Drosophila melanogaster: one gene and its partner. The gene in region 1 interacts genetically with each later gene. Each region holds a gene or a part of one and is shown on either strand. Other genes may lie near its edges.

Evidence for each region. A genetic interaction does not mean that the proteins touch.
Region 2: of egr (region 1) and hid, changing one suppresses a phenotype caused by changing the other (phenotypic suppression), as found in Drosophila melanogaster (2 studies listed by BioGRID).

The regions. Positions count from the first base shown.
Region 1 is NT_033778.4:10,076,783-10,087,020, reverse strand, and holds egr (eiger), read right to left. Parts: upstream 8,656-10,238; 5' UTR 8,010-8,655; coding exon 7,839-8,009; intron 6,409-7,838; exon of another isoform or gene 6,327-6,408; intron 6,234-6,326; exon of another isoform or gene 6,097-6,233; intron 5,834-6,096; exon of another isoform or gene 5,696-5,833; intron 5,515-5,695; coding exon 5,389-5,514; intron 4,769-5,388; exon of another isoform or gene 4,699-4,768; intron 4,380-4,698; coding exon 4,054-4,379; intron 3,992-4,053; coding exon 3,887-3,991; intron 3,760-3,886; coding exon 3,695-3,759; intron 3,618-3,694; coding exon 3,528-3,617; intron 3,448-3,527; coding exon 3,083-3,447; 3' UTR 2,811-3,082; downstream 1-2,810. Other genes in the region: sut4 (sugar transporter 4), read left to right, coding at 58-1,392.
Region 2 is NT_037436.4:18,181,315-18,187,319, forward strand, and holds the start of hid (head involution defective), read right to left. Parts: upstream 4,328-6,005; 5' UTR 3,809-4,327; coding exon 3,478-3,808; intron 1-3,477.

The DNA of each region.
Region 1 (10,238 bases):
AAATTGTACAAATATAAATCGAAACACTGATTTTTTCATCGCGCATTTTATGTAAAAATGGGAACTGCCACTCAGTTTATTGTTGGTTTCATCGGCGCCCTGGGCGCCTTTTGTCTAGGCGCAGTGATCGGCTGGTCAGGACCGGTGGAAAATGAAGTCAAGAATTCTAACGCGTACAACTTTACCCCTCGTCAAACGGAATGGGGCCTGGTGGGATCTCTGATGACTCTGGGTGCAGCTTTCTCGTGCATTCCGGTGGGCGTGCTCATTGGTAAGATCGGGCGGAAGACGACAATGCTAATCCTGCTGCCACCGTTCTTTATCGGATGGCTCCTGATCCTCCTGGCATCGCACATAGCAATGCTGCTGCTCGGACGCTTCGTAGTGGGATTCTGCGGAGGAGCCTTCTGCGTGACTTGTCCCATGTACGTGACTGAGATAGCCCAGGTCCAGTACCGCGGAACCATGGGATGCTTCTTCCAGCTGCTAATCGTTTTTGGTATTCTGTACGCCTTTGTGGTTGGAGGTTTTGTAAAGACCTTCTACTTTAATATTGCTTGCGCAATTTTGCCCGTAATCTTTTTTGTCTTGATGATTTTTATGCCGGAATCTCCGATTTTTCTGGCCCAAAAGGGAAAAGCCGAGAAGGCGGAGAAATCTCTTAAATTTCTGCGCGGAAAGGATGCGGATGTGAGCGGTGAGCTGAAGGAAATGAGCGCCGAGGGCCAAAAGGAGAAGGCTAGCGTTGGGAAAATCCTATGCCGCAGGATTACCCTCAAGGGGCTGTTCCTCTCCATCGGTCTCATGTTGTTCCAGCAGATGACGGGCATCAATGCGATTATTTTCTATTCTACATTCATCTTTGAGACGGCTGGATCGACCCTGGAGCCCAGAATATCTACAATTATTGTGGGCATTGTGCAGGCTATTGCCACTATCATTTCGATCCTGGTTATTGAGAAAGTCGGTCGGAAGATACTCCTATTGGTGTCCGCCTGCATGATGGGTATCAGCACCCTGATCATGGCTCTTTACTTTGGCATGTTGATGAAATCTGGAGTCGGCTGGCTGGCCCTAATTGCCGTTTGTGTTTTTATTATTGGATTCTCCCTGGGATTCGGTCCAGTTCCCTGGCTGATGATGGCCGAGCTCTTTGCCGAGGATGTAAAGGCCCTAGCAGGATCGATTGCCGGGACTACAAATTGGTGTTTTGCTTTTATCGTGACCCTTCTTTTCCCTGTTCTTAACGATATTATTGGAGCAACCGCGTGCTTTGCAATCTTCTTCGGATTTGCGGTGGCCGCCTTTGTCTTCATTCTCTTCCTAATTCCCGAGACAAAGGGAAAAACGCTTAACGAGATTCAGGCCAAGATGGGCGAGAAGGCCGAATAGTACTTGCAATCTTTTGATATCATCAGGGATTCAAGTCTATGGATCTCTGACCAAACTTTTGATAAATTTTCGTGGAATTGGAACTGAATATTTGTACCGTCAAATGCAATCAAATGCATTTAAATTTATGTCTTAACATTTTTCTACATGATGTTATTATGAATAAAATGCCACCTCTTGACATTTTAAGTGTTGTGCCGACTCACCATTTCGCGCAACGTATTCCTTGCAGATCCTTCAATCCAACTACTTGAACTACTTGGAAAGAGAAATCGACACACACTGCACTGAAATCAGAAACGAATTGCCAATTGCCAGGCTCTATATGCAAAATAGATGCGCTTTGACTTCGTATGCAATCGGAGGGTAAATAGCAAATAAGTCCAGGTAAATAGTAGAAAGCTTTCCGGCTGACAGGATGCCATTTCCCCAGCAATTTCGGGCCTGGTTGCGATTTCCCGACCAGTGCGCATGGCACACGGAACATCTGACGGGCGCTGCAGCTGGGGGTTATGTACACACGTTATGGCCAGGCCAAAAGCACAAACCAATTCCGGGAACGAACTGTTGCTCTCTCCCATCAGCAGGACCCCAATTCGAGCCACCTGTTACTCCGCCCGCCCGACAATCGGCGTGCATACGCCCCACAATCATATCCGGAGTTCCCCCTCCCAACCACTAGAAATTTGTCTTTGGCTGAAGATGGGAAAACAAAAATAAGTATTCAAAATGTATATATCATTTTGTCATTTTCAGGTATTTTAAGCTTGTCTTTAAATTTACGACATGAACAGGTCGTGTGACGTGTAGTCAAAAATGAATTGTTGTATCCATTCTCATTAATCCTTGCTAATTGTTGTCAAGGAGTATACACTAGAAAACACCAGGTACAACTAATTGATTATTTGATCAATCAAGCTTAGCATGAAAATGCCACCTCAACATTTTCTTGTACATGACGTCTGCAAGACTGATTTGGTCGTCTTACCGATGACTGTACTTTGGCCCCTCCTTCGTGTCCAATTGTCCGAATTCTCGGAACATGTGGGTAAAAAGATTTGAAGTTCGGACTTCCTTACTCTCCTGTGGTTTCCATGACTATGACGATGGCGATGCAGATGTTGCCCGGGACAGACGCTCGAGCTGCAATACAACTCCCGGTCCGGATATTATCCAGTTGCAAAGCAATTTCCCTGCCCTTTGACCAAATTCCATTCAAAATTTTTAATAAAGACCATAGTAAGCTGGAATTGCACAAATAAAGCTGAGGGATATCTTTGAATGGCTCTTCATTTGAGATTTGAATTGAAAGCATTTGAAGCATTTTGAATCGAATTATACTAAGAACGAATATTCATTATTTAGAAGATTATAATATTTTCAATTGCAACTGGTAGCAATTGATTCAATTGATGTTTCTTAAACACGCTTACACAAGCGGGTAATAGCTACATATATTTTTATTCACTTTTTAGAGTCGAACGAGTATATACAAAATAAATATGATTTTCCTCCGTCTTCTGACTAATGCAGTATGCACGATTCCGATTGAGATTAGGTTTGGAGTGACTAAGACTAGGTACTACGAACTAATGGATTCACGCTGGCGATGAATCGCATTCACGAGCAGTCGCGGGGACAAAAGCTTAAACTGGTATTCCATCTTCTGACCGGGGATAATCTCTCCAATTTACACCTTGAAGATGCCAAAGTAGCTTCGGTTGTTTCCCTCCCGCAGAACTGCATTGCGATCGTTGTGAATGTCCTTCAGATGGATCCTCTCGTTTCGTTCCAGGTGGATCAGACCACTCGTGTGGCAGGTGTGCACCTTATGTGGCATGTTGGTGGGCACCGTGTTCAAGCACTGCAGGAATGGAGTGTCTCCTTGAAAGACGATAAATCCGTTCTGGTCGTGCGAGTTGTTGTAGCATATCTGGGCGTATACGTAATATAGGCCTGTATTGGTCACCGTCAAGACGCCATCGCGCGTTTGAAAGTGTCCCTGATAAGAGTTTCTCTCGTTATCATTTCCTATGTACATATCTCCATGGTAGCCTGAGAAATTCAAGAAGTGACTTCATTAGGTTGCCTGTAGTACTTGTATGTACACGCTTGACGCGGAAGCATCTCCTTACCCATACTTCCTTGGTGACGCCGCCTGCTGCTCAAGTGGAAATGGGCTGCTGGCCTCGAGTCCTCGGATCTGGCTGAAAGAAGAGATTCACCTGCAAATTAACAGAGGTGCGAATAGAGATTTGGTATTCGATTTTTGCCAATTGTTTCGCTTTTCTACACTACACACCTTTGCGGACTAGGAGGTGGCGATGGCGGGAATGCATTCTGCGACGGTGGTGAAGTGGTGCAGGGCTTCAAGTAAAAAGAAAATGTATACATATGTGTTTCAGTTACGCAGTTAACTATCTATCTTTAACCCATAGCATATAACTTCATTAATGGTTTTTCTTGCCTGTTTTCAACGGAACGTTCTACTTACCTCTCTTTGGAAGTTGCCTCATTGGATGACTTTTCCTGAAGCTCTGTGTGATTTCCTTGAATATTCTGCTCCTCATTGCGTACATCGGCAATCGAGCGAGATTTTCTGTGAAGAGGAAAAGCAGAGGCTTAATACGATAAATCCCTGAAAATTTCATCCGTGCTCACCTCTCCTGCTTCTTTTTGTGGGCATTGTAGCTGGTAAAGTCATCGAACACATTGTCATCATTTGAGGCTGAGGATGCACTGTCCGTCTCGCCCTCGCCCTCAGCAGTGGTCTCAGATGTGGGCGTGGTGCCGGTATGTGCATTGTTGAGTTTATTTAACATATCGGTGTAGTCCTCGTAGTCTGCGCCAACATCATCCACAGAGCTATAGCTAACGTCGTCGTCCTCGTCGTCCGCAATGGAATCCAGACCATCGCCATCGTCGTCGTCCTCCTCATCCGTGAGGCCATCCACCTTTTTTGGATAGTCGATGAGGGCATTCTCGTACTGCAACGAAGGGATGGGCATCAGCATTTTGGGTCAGAAGACTTGGCCAAGTACGTGACTGCAGCTGGCACAGTCCTGGCACATATCTCACATCCATTTGGGACGTTCATTTTTAGACACACGCCCGCAGCACAGGCTGTTTCGTCATCATCCTAATTGATGGCGCCTCGCTCAAAAACATGATACTCGTATACATATACTTGTGTACATCATACATATATTTAAAAGCGAAGGAAACTCTCAAGAGAATTGGCACCACAGATGCCCAGCCATCAAAATATAAATAAATCTTAAAATCTTAAAACCATCTCTGGCCATTAGGCCATTTGATGAGATTCGATCAATCGTCACATACAGCCAAAAGCGATCGCTCGCCTTGAACGACTATATCTACTGATAGAGCCTAGTATTTTTGTTGAATTATTGGGGCTTTTACCTTTTGTCACTTGGGGATTTGTATCTCATAAATTACGTGAACTGGCTGGCGCCTCATATTTGAAATGAGTGTTTCCTTGCGGAAAGAGACATTATAATTCAAATAATCTATCACAATTTTCTATGTGCCTTTGGCCAAGCAGCTAACAAAAAAAAATGAAACAAATAACAGATGAAACAGCGTCGAAATTATATTTTAGCACATAATTCTATAAATATTTTTGTATGTCCCACACAATAACCACATATTACGTCTGGTCATTTTTTTGAGGCATTCTTTTTCAAAAACAGGCGCATGGCTTACCGACTGTGAGATACCCTAGCCAGAGTTTGCCATCATAAAATGCAAATTACCCTTTAGGCAAAAAGAAAACTAAACATAATAGATACTCAATAACAAAAGTTCGATATACCCTCATTAAAAACTCAAGTACCAGCCTCAAGGAATAACAATCATTTCCGACTTTGTAAACAATTCGAGGTATCTGTATTTGCCCGGGGCAAATGTTACAGCCCCTGCCCCATCGCCGAGTACAAATATTGATGCTCGAAAGTGATTTACGCAATTGCTCACCTCCTTTTGGAACTCGTCGAACTCGTCCAGATAGTTTATGCCCAAACGCTGCTGGAGATTATCGACGACTCGCTTCAGGCTCTTCAGCTCCTTGTCCAGATGCGATACACGCGTTGTCTGCCAGATCTGCAAGATAAGATAATTCAATTGTTACACACTCATTCAGGCTCGTTTCTAATCATCCGCTCATTAGCAATTGGGCAATCAATTTAACGTAGCCCCAATTAAACATCTATAGCTGGTGCTAAGGCCCGGCACATCATATAACACCCAGTGCCGCGAACTTTTGACACCCGAAAAATATATAAAAACTAACTGAACAAACTGATAGAGGCGAGACGAGAAAGATTTCGTGGGGAAATACGGCGGGGTACGTACGATCGCCACTCAGCCACATAATCTGCTTAATGGATCATTAACATTCGGGCCGAGCAGAGGCCTTATATACGGACACTTCTCAAGTCTCGACTGGCAGCCGAAATCGAAAAGAATGGCTCAACTTAAGCCACTGTACGCGCAGACGGGGAAATATACACATGTACATACATGTAGGTACACACAACAACTTGTACTGAATTCTTGTATAAATTATGGACTTTACGCAGACCCAAGAAACTTGTTTAAGTTTCCAGTGAACCACTTTCCATTAGAGCTTATCGGCGATCAGTAGATCGATCGCAGCGCCTGCAGTTTGTCACTTTCTTAGAGGGCCCCAAATGATGAGGGTTACTTTGTACGAATGTCAGTGAAATTGAATTAAACAACGAAAAATGCTTCATGGCTTAACGGAGATTTATGAGGAAAACCGAACTTGAGGCCCACGTCAGTGGCTGAAGCCAATCATTTACAAGTCAATTGTCAATTGTACGATTTCCGTTCACTTAAGCCAAAGTTGAGTGGGTCATGGAGGAGTCCTGGGTGAGGGGGGGGGAAATGGGGGTGGGAGAGAAGGACCAGATTCAAGTCCACAAACTTAATCTTCTGCAATTCAAATCCGGATTTCAGCGAGCACACTCATTCGCAAAGTTATCAGGGAAAAACATGACACAACAACCCAGTCGAAGATTTATCGAATGCATAACAGAACGGACTCAGTGGCATTTAAATCGGTTGAACAAAAACAAAAGGGAAGAACAGACATGTACCGATAAACATTTCTCTAGCATCTGCATCCGCTTTATTTGGATTAGCTGGATCATTAGGAACCGATTTGGCCTAAAGACGTGTCGGTGATGACATCGCTTGATCAGCCAAGAAACCGCCGTTTTTCCCGCTCTAAATATAGTTTCATGCCAAATTATAGTTAACCTATCTGCGACGGTCACGGATCATAAAGTCTGTTTTCATTTCAATTTATGCATCCGCGGAATTTCGTCTTTAATTTGGCATCAACAAAGACTTTGTGACAAACAGCTTTATAAGCCGAAGCGTGCCAAAGGTTAAATATTCATTTTTAGATTGCGATTTCGGGGGTGTCTATACACATACGTTGTTAAAGTCCAATTTGCATTTATATTTATTCGCATTTTATTTTGGCAAGCTACTGAAATAAACATTTCCGAAAAATAGGAGTCTGTTCAGAGTCTAGAAGGCGGTTCATGGCTGAATGGAATCTCTCTGTTTTTATGCTTTCATTACTTTATTGGTGCAATCTGTTTTCCAGATAAAACTAACTGTCGTTGTGATGGTTTTTGGAGAGATAACTAAGCAAAATTATAAATTAAACTACCAAAATAAAACACTAAAAACACAATAAAACACAAATTCTACAAAAGTCTAGTTTAAGAATCAGTGTAATACCTTTACACTCGTTTCGAAACAGTCATTAAAACGGCCATATAATCATGATTGGCCCACTTTGGCGCCCAAAATATCATTAAACAACATAGCCCATAACAACTCATTCCTATCTATATTCTGGGGAAACTCCCACCAATAACTGATATACCCACACCTTTGGAATTCCGACGAATCATTAATCGCACACAACAAACAAAAAAAAAGGCATTCAAGTATGGAATAGCTATTTCAATTTGGAGGTGACTACTTTAATCTTTTTCAAATTATATTCATTAACTAAATCTATTCAGCACATTTGACGATTTTAGTGTGCTAAAAAACATTAAAAACATAAAATGCGACTGAAGAGATTGTACGACGCTCAAACACACATAAAATATGTTATACTATTTATTTATTTGTAATTATTTCAATACTAAGTATGATTTGTGCCACCTTAATTAAACATCTTTAAGCATGGTTTGTTATCTTAAGTAGGCAGATAGAGACGCAATGTTATCAATTAATAGCATCTTAATGAAAATTTTGTAGTACGATTTCATTCAGTTCAGAGTCTAATTGGTGTGTTTAGAATCGCGATAGTCGATCCAAATGGGCAATAATACCTGATTGGGCTGCTATTGGGTAAATGATTGTGAAGGAAAACTTACCGTTAGTGCGAGAATGGCAACGACCAGCCCCAGACCGATGAACCCCAAAACCAGGGGGATCAGCTGGCGGGTGCGTCGCTGGGCGGTCGCCGTGCTGGTCGCTTTGGCCGGAAAACCATCATCGTTGGCACTCGTTGGCGTTATAAACGGCTTGAGGGTCTCGGCAGTCATAATTGATGAACACTGGGGATCTTAGAGCAACCGGGGCCTCCAGATGCTGATGCTGATTCTGTTGATAATGACGACGATGATGATGATGACGATCTTGCCCACCCACTCAAGGGCACTCGACAGCTGTTTCCAATCGAGCTTTGTCGCACTTTATATGAACACACTCTATGTATTTAAGATACTACACGAGCACACAGAACAACCTCACAGACAGCATGAGATGATAAGCTGCGACATCTATATAGATAAACCCCTCGGGCTGCTGATGGTGCCCTTTTCAGATTGTATTACCACACTTGTTTTGTCTACTGCTTGTTTTTCTCTTCCGCGATCGGCAATTAGCAAAAGAAAAGCGCGAAAACAAGTTTCTCAAGATATTTTCTAGTTTTATCAGTTCTTGTTTGCGATAAAGGCACAGCGAAAACCAAAAAAAAAAAAAAAAACACAACACACAGTGGACGAGTTGCACTTATGTATTTTTAGTAATTTGCCCGATGGCGAAATTCAATCTTGGTAAGTAGTTAACTGAAACGGATAGCTTTTTTTCTTCGCTATCATGCACGCACGCGCTTGCTTGGGATCTCTGATTTACCGGTTTCTTTTCTCACTTTAAACGTCCGTTCGCGTCGACGATTCGAAAGAGAATGAATTTGAACTGAGAACGGGAGCGTGAACTGAGGGAAAACGAACCGAGCGGCACTTGATTTCTCACGTTCGAGCAGGCAGGCGAGCAAGAGGGACAACGGATTGGCACCGTCTCCCTCGCTCACGTGGCGAGGATGCGCGGCATACTTAAGGGCGCCTGCGCTGTTTACTTTGTGTAATTAATTTTTGGCAAGGTTCTCCCGGGGTGGTGTTTTGGTGATACAGTGGGCTCTGGCTAACAGGAATTAAATTAATTATTATATTTCTACAATTTTACATGTACATATGTATATGTAGATACGATTTTTATTTATTATAACAAATTATTTGTATGAAACTCATAATCATGGTGTGCATAAGAAATATTTACAAAAATATGATTTATAATATGATATAACACTAAATAATAGTTCATATAGTCTAAAGTTGTTAACAATTTAACAATGTTATCATAATTTCAATATCAAATTGAAATGCTCAAATAACGAACTTTAATAACATTTATCAAAAGAGAAGAAAATAGTGTATCTAATTTAGAATATTGGATGCCATATTGAAGACCATCTCATCGTTGTTTTTAGCCAAGACAGACTGTACTTGGTTCCGATTTCCCTTGCACATATGGCGATCATAAGTAGCAAAGCGTGTTTGACTTTTTGCGCAGTGTTTTCCACTGCTTTTATTTCTTTTTATGTGTTATGTGCACTTAAAACCTCCCCCTGTGATTTATAGGGGTTGCTCGATTGCTTTTTGAAATCGGCACCACTGTAAGCGGCTTGGCTTCGCATCCCCGGGTTTTCGCTTCATTTTCTTTGTGTGGCTGCTTTGTTCGAGCTCCCTTCATGACACTGACATGGAACAGATCCCCGATCTTCGATTCCCGAGCCGCAGCTAATTGAGTTCCGAAAAGTGGCGGATCGTTGACAAACCCATAGATAAGCCAAATGAACTTTTAGCATTTCATTAAAATCGTATTTATTATTACTTAGACCGACGATCGGGGTCTGTCAGCGCCGTGCCTAAGTACGGGTTCTAATTACGGGTAGCGGGGTAGCCATAAACCTAATGCTGATCCGATCCGATCAGCCACCGTCGCGACAACTAGTCTGCCGAACCGGCTGCCAAACAGACCCGTATCGTAAATCCGCCCAAGAGTGTCGTCATTCGGCAGAGATGCAAATGTCGGCGTTGGTCAGCTAATTAGTTTCTAATCGTCTGCGACAAACAGGTAACCACAGGTAGAACTGCTCAGGCCGTAAGAGCGGGGATCGGATGGCACACGCTTCCGGTGCACTTCTTAACCCATTAGTCGTTATCTGTTTTCGCATTGTGCAAGACCACATTTTTATTTATAATTTTCAATGTTCGGAAATGGTAAATCAATGATTTAAAATTATATACATATACATATGTATGTACATTTGTATATACAATAGTTTTTGAAAAGCTTCTATTACTTTTTTGTGTTTTGTATCTTACTTTTTTGTATTACATCATTTGTTTTATATAAATTCAGTTGTGAAAAGCTTAATTAATTATGGAATAAATCGGACGAATTGTTTCAATCTAAGCTCTGAGACCTTT
Region 2 (6,005 bases), on another chromosome or scaffold:
TAAAACTTAAATGAAATGTAACAATTACAGAGGACGCAACTCAACAAAAAAAAGCTGCATATGTATTTGCAAGGGAAAAATAAAAAAATCGAAAACAAAACCAGAAGGAAACCAAAAATCACGGTCAATGTAAAGGCGAAGCCGTAATACCAACGAAAAGCGAAAAAATAAAGCAGACAACGAGAGAAACAGAAAAAAGCAATGCAAAGTATGTAAAATATAAAAAGCCGCCTGTACGTATAAATCAGCTTGGCAACAGGCCAAGCAAATCGAGATGGAAATGACGATGATGAAAAGCGGAGGCAAACCTCCTCCCATCCAACCCTCCTCCTATTTTCCCACCCCCTTTGTGATGCTGTGCAGAAAAAAGAGGAGTTCAAAACTTGCGGTTAATCGGAGTTTTTGCGCTCCCTCTCTTTCTCCAGGCGTAGGCTTCATCTCGCTCTATCTGCGCAGCAGTCAGCTGTGTTTTGTTGCCAGGCAGGATGCGGCAGGAGTCGCCATTTTTGCCGCCATTATGGCTCCTCTTTTCTACTAAAGTCCACCTACACGAAGTTGCCGAGCAAAACAAAATGGTTGAAAATGTCAAGTGCGGCAGAGACGCCGGCAGCGAAAAACAACGCCTAGCAGCAGAACAGCTGTTGGCAACAGCAAAGCGAATGATGCGAATTTGCAAGCCAAAGCAGAGCGACCAAAACTTGGAGTTGAGTACGGTGGGGAACATTTTTGTACTCTGCACTGTACCTACATAGGTACATATTATTATCTATGATAACAAAAATCTATGTTAATAACTAAATGTTGAACCAAAAAAGTAATAGTCCATAATAGTTTACATAATAACCGCTAGGTTTACGCATCTTTTAATCTGCATCCAATTAGCCAACAGATAAAATGTACCTGTTCCCATCACTGATTAGGGAACCGCTGCTGTCATTGCACCTTTTGTTGGTCGCCATTGGGAATGGGTTACGTGGTGGGCTCTGGATGCTGTATGCATAATCCTCTCCCAAAACAAAAGGCTCCCTGCCGCATTTTTTTTTTTGCTTTTGGTAGGGAAAAGCTCTGTTGGTATTTAGGAATTTTTGTCGGGGTTGTTTGCGCCTCGCATTTTTAGGCTTTTAGGGTTGATAGCTGGCTGATGACTAAGCGCGTTTCTGGCTAAAAGTATTCCGTGAATCTGGCTTGCATGTATGTGTGTATGTATGGCATAGCTGGGGGAACCAGGAAAAAGGGTTCTCGCTTCTTGGTTAACTACAGTTTATCCCTTTCTTGTTTCAAGGGCTTCAAGCATTGTTCACTAGTTTCGGGATGTGTCACGATTAGATAAATTATCCTCTTGAGTGGCTAACTAAAGTACATGATCGGCGTGCGTTGAGTAGGGGCTTAGATGTGGTTCGGGAAAATGAGATAAGGGAAAATTACTTTTAAATCGAAACTTTCACGATAACGTCAAGTCTTTTTAGCTCGTTTTTCAAAATAAATGCCCCGCAATCGAATTTTCACTGGGCATCAGCTCTCGTAAGCGAAAAAAAAGTATCTCTGTATAAATTATGATATTATAGACGAAAACAGATTGAAGCGCCCAAAAGTGACTCACTGTAATTTCGAGAAGGGAACGCTTTTTTTTCGTCTGACCAACTGTTGCTGACAGCAAAAAAGGTAACAAACCAAATAAAACAGCAAAATAATATAAAGTAACAATTCGGTTGTTCGGTGGAACCAAAGAGCGCAGCTGGCAATCATCGACAGCGACAAAATCTATTATGCAAAGGCAACACAAAATTAAGGAACGCGAATGAAAAACCGCAAAGCAAACATGAAAAGCGCGCGCGCAAAAAAAAGAAAAACAATAAAAACTGACCGCACTCAACGTGGCCGAGCACAAAAGCTACTTAAACAACCGTTAAGTCAAACACTTTGCAAATGGCCCACACCCTCAACCCGTTTGGCCCCCTTTTGGAAAATCGGAAAACTAGTTGCCTAAGGTCAAATGGCGTTTAATAATTTGGGTTAGTCGAGTGGTAAGATATACGAGCAGTACGCTCGAGATAGATAGATATCTTGCAGATACCCAGACACACAGGCACACCACACTCACTCAAAAGTCTCAAAAGTAAGACATTCGACTCGAGTTTGGCGCGTGCCAATTAAACGTGCTTAGCTCTGTGCTCCCAGCTCTGTTTTATTGCCGCTGGGTTATGTTTCCCTGGTTTCAGCCAGGTCTTTATTTTCTTGCTGGTCCAGCACACGCCCAATTTTTTGACCATATTTACGAACAATATCGCATGACAGCCAACTCGGCAGTTGTCTTGCATGTGTCTCGGCGTTTCTTTCTTAAAGCCATAGCACACTAAAAGTTTTATCAGCCTAGTTTAGATAATCATGACCGAAGGAAATTGATCTTAATGTGATTTATCGAGCTAGTTATCACCATTTCTACTTTATTTTCATTTATTTATAACATAAGTAGATTTTTGTCTCAATACAAAATTTTTTAATTTGTAAGATTCCCACTTTGGGAATTTGATCCAGTAATTCCCCACATGATTTTGAGTTTTTGCAGTTTTGTGACTTCGTTTATTAAGTTTGCTCTCTCCTCCAATCGAAACTTCTCAATTACTTCTCAATTTTCCCCTTTTTGAACTTGTTCGATTAATTTTTATTGAATTACCGTTTTTTCGGCTTCCTTTCGAATGTGGCCGAGAAATTTGCCTTCCGCTCTGCCTTTTACACTTTTTTTTTTGCTGATAAGCTGACAAAGTGCTGAATTGACCATATATAAAATAAAAAAAAAACTGGGTAAAAGTAAACAAAAACAACCTGGATGCAGTTGACGCAGTTACTCGAAACTGGATGAATCAACAACCTTGAAAAGTGAAACTTGCACAAGGGGAACTGAAGCAGTTAACAAATAACGTCACAACTTGGCTAATTGCTGACCCATTTTAAAATGAGGGAAACCCTCCGGCTGTCCAGAAACTTTCTTAAACTAAACTAAATGATATTAAAAGCGGTAATCAAAAATATGAAACCTTTAAAGTCGCTTGTATAGAAAAAAATTGTTCGCCATTTTTTATTGATCAAATCTATTAGTTTGAAAATATCTTCAAACATTTAAAATGCTGTTTTTTCGAAAGAAATAAATTTACTATTCTTTAAGCAATTTCAAGTTAATAACATTTTTTGTTTACTTTTACAAGGAGATCCTATGAAAATCCTTCTTGTTAATAGCAAAACAAGTGGGCTTAAATAAAGTGTTGGTTATAAGCATTTTAGAAAATATATTACCAACATGCGTAAGCAGTTATTCTGTGTGGGAACTTCTTAAACATTTCGCAATTAATAACCGTATATGAATCGAAACTTATTTTTGTATCTGCAAATGTATTTGAGGTAAACTAAATGGATATCCTGATTAACCCACACAATTTCAAAGTTCTTAAGAGTGGAGAATTGAGATCTTTGTAGACTTACCACTCTGCTGGCTCTGGTACATCCTGACCCACTCGTAGAGGGCGTATAGCACTTGGTCGGTGGGCAGTGGAGACTGCATCGGCGTCTGCGTGGCCGACGAGGTGGTGGTGTTCGGCGATTGCGAGGCGGCGCTGCTGGCGCCGTCCGACGATGCGGAGGACGAAGATGAGGCCGAGGAGGCGGAGGCCGAGGACACGCCCGAGGAGGAGACGGACGAGGATGCGCTCGAGGGAAGTGGGTGGTTGTGGGGGGAGGAGTTGCCCGAGGCTCCCGATGAACTCGACGCTACGTCATCGGCGCCGCCCTCGGGCAAATAAAAGGGCACGGCCATTGTGTGGGTGTGTGTGTGTGCTGGCTTCCTTTTTGTCCTTATCCGCTTCCTTCCTTCCTGCACTTTGTTGGCACTTTGCTCTTCTTGTGATTGTTCTTCGCTGCTTTGTTTTGCTTTTTATTTTGTGTACAACTTTTGGTTAGAGTTCACTTTAATTGATTTTGTATTTCTTGTGCAAGATTTTGAATATTAGAAACTTTTTCATTTTTCGTGCAGTTTTTTCTTATGATTTGTTTTTTATCTTTCCTGATTTGTCAAACAACACTCAAGTCAAGTTTTTGCTCGGTTAGTTAGTTTTTCGGATTCTTCTGCGTTTTTCATCAACCCTTTTCGTGTTTAGAACTGATTTAAAAACACAAAACTGTTCACGATGGATTTCGTTTTTTATTTTTTGTTATTTTTTTATTCTTTGCTTTTGCTGTTGTCAATTATGGAAGAGCACTTAAAACGTGTCGCAGACTCAAAGAAAGAGGGCAGGAAACACGTCTTACTGGCTCCGCGGCTAAAAATGAACTGTTCGCACTGGGGCCTCAAACTACGGCAACAGAGCCTCTACCGCGACGTCGGCAGAGCGGCAGCGTAGGCGCGCAGCCAGTGCAATCGCAATCTCTCTCGCTCCCTCTCCTGCACATGCACGTGCATGAAGGAGGCACACTTGAGAGAAAAAAAATATTTTAAAAAATCCCGCTCTTTACCTACCCTGTAATAGCTGAGTGAGGAAGAGTATACTCGGACCATGAATTGCGTCTACATAAATGCATCAAGGAGCATAGTTAACATATCTAGATTTTAAGGTTGTAAAAATTTAATTGATTGGCTTTCGCATACTGAAAAAACTGAAATATTGTACCAGCGCACTAATTGCTGAAGTAACACTATTTTATAACTCATATTTACTTACAACATAAAGTACATATTTAGATGCACAAACAATGTGAAGGGTATGTCTCAGTTGGTACTCTTACAAAACGTTCTTTCTCGTTTCAACTAAGAGTGTGTGGGCAGGCTGTGTACGCGTGTATGTGTGGGTACACAAAGATCTTGTCGAGCAGGTAAATTCAGAAGAAGAAGAAAACTCATCAGAAGTAGCGAAGAGGCAGTATATCCGACTGCGCTGCCTAGCGAACGCTAAAGCAAAACAAAAACTGCAATTGTACAACACTCTTTGCTTGTGGTTTTCGTTATTGCACTTTGCTCTTGCTTTCGGTTTTGATTTGTATTTGTTTAAACAAGAGAGCGGAGGGAGAGCAAGCGTTCTTAAGAGGCCAAAAAACCGGAGTAGAAAGAGTATGATAAATGGGAGTATATTCTATGAGCGGATTAAATGAGTTAAAAAGGTAGTAGAAAAAAGGGAGTTTTTAGACAAAGCTTGATTACTTTCTCACATTTTAAAATATTTTGAGAAGGGAAGTTCACAATTTTATAATGTTCAATACTTTTTTTTTGAATATAAATTTGAAAAATAGCAACATGATTAACAAAGGATCCAACTTGCTTAGCTCAGGTTTTACTGGCTAAATGAATGTACATATGTATGTATGTATGTACATTTATGCAGAGAATGATTAGCTAGTTTATTGTATTTAATAAAATAAATTAAATTGTTTTATATTTTGGGTATTCAAGCAATGTAATAAAGACTATTTAGTTGGCGTTCATTCACATTAAACATTTCAAACGTGTTTTTGAATATACGATAAGGAGTTTAGCTAATTACATTTCCGATTTGGATGTTGGCTATATTTAATCAATTTCACCATATATCAAAAATTGACTGTGCAACATGAAAAACCTGTTTTCGCTCTTACTCTTGTCTTCCTCTGCATCTTCCCCTCTCCCTCCCACACATTATACAAACAGGCTTTTTCCTCTCCTTTTCTCTCTCTCTCTCTCTCTCTCTATTTCCTTCTCTGTCATTCCCAACTTTGCGCGCGAAAACGCTTGAAAAAAATTACGAAATACGCGTAAAACAATTCTTGGCTTTTAATTTAAATTTTACGGCAAATAATTCTCGTAACTGGCATTACTTTAGATCCATTTATTAGCTTTGTATCTATGTAGCTCTAGTAGCTCTCTTAATAATGTGGTATTATAAAATGTTCGCAATATAATTTAAAACAAATTAGATTCTAGACCTAAAACTAGTTTAATAGCCCATATTTCAAAATAAAAGAGGCCCGTCGAAAATTCTGAAGAA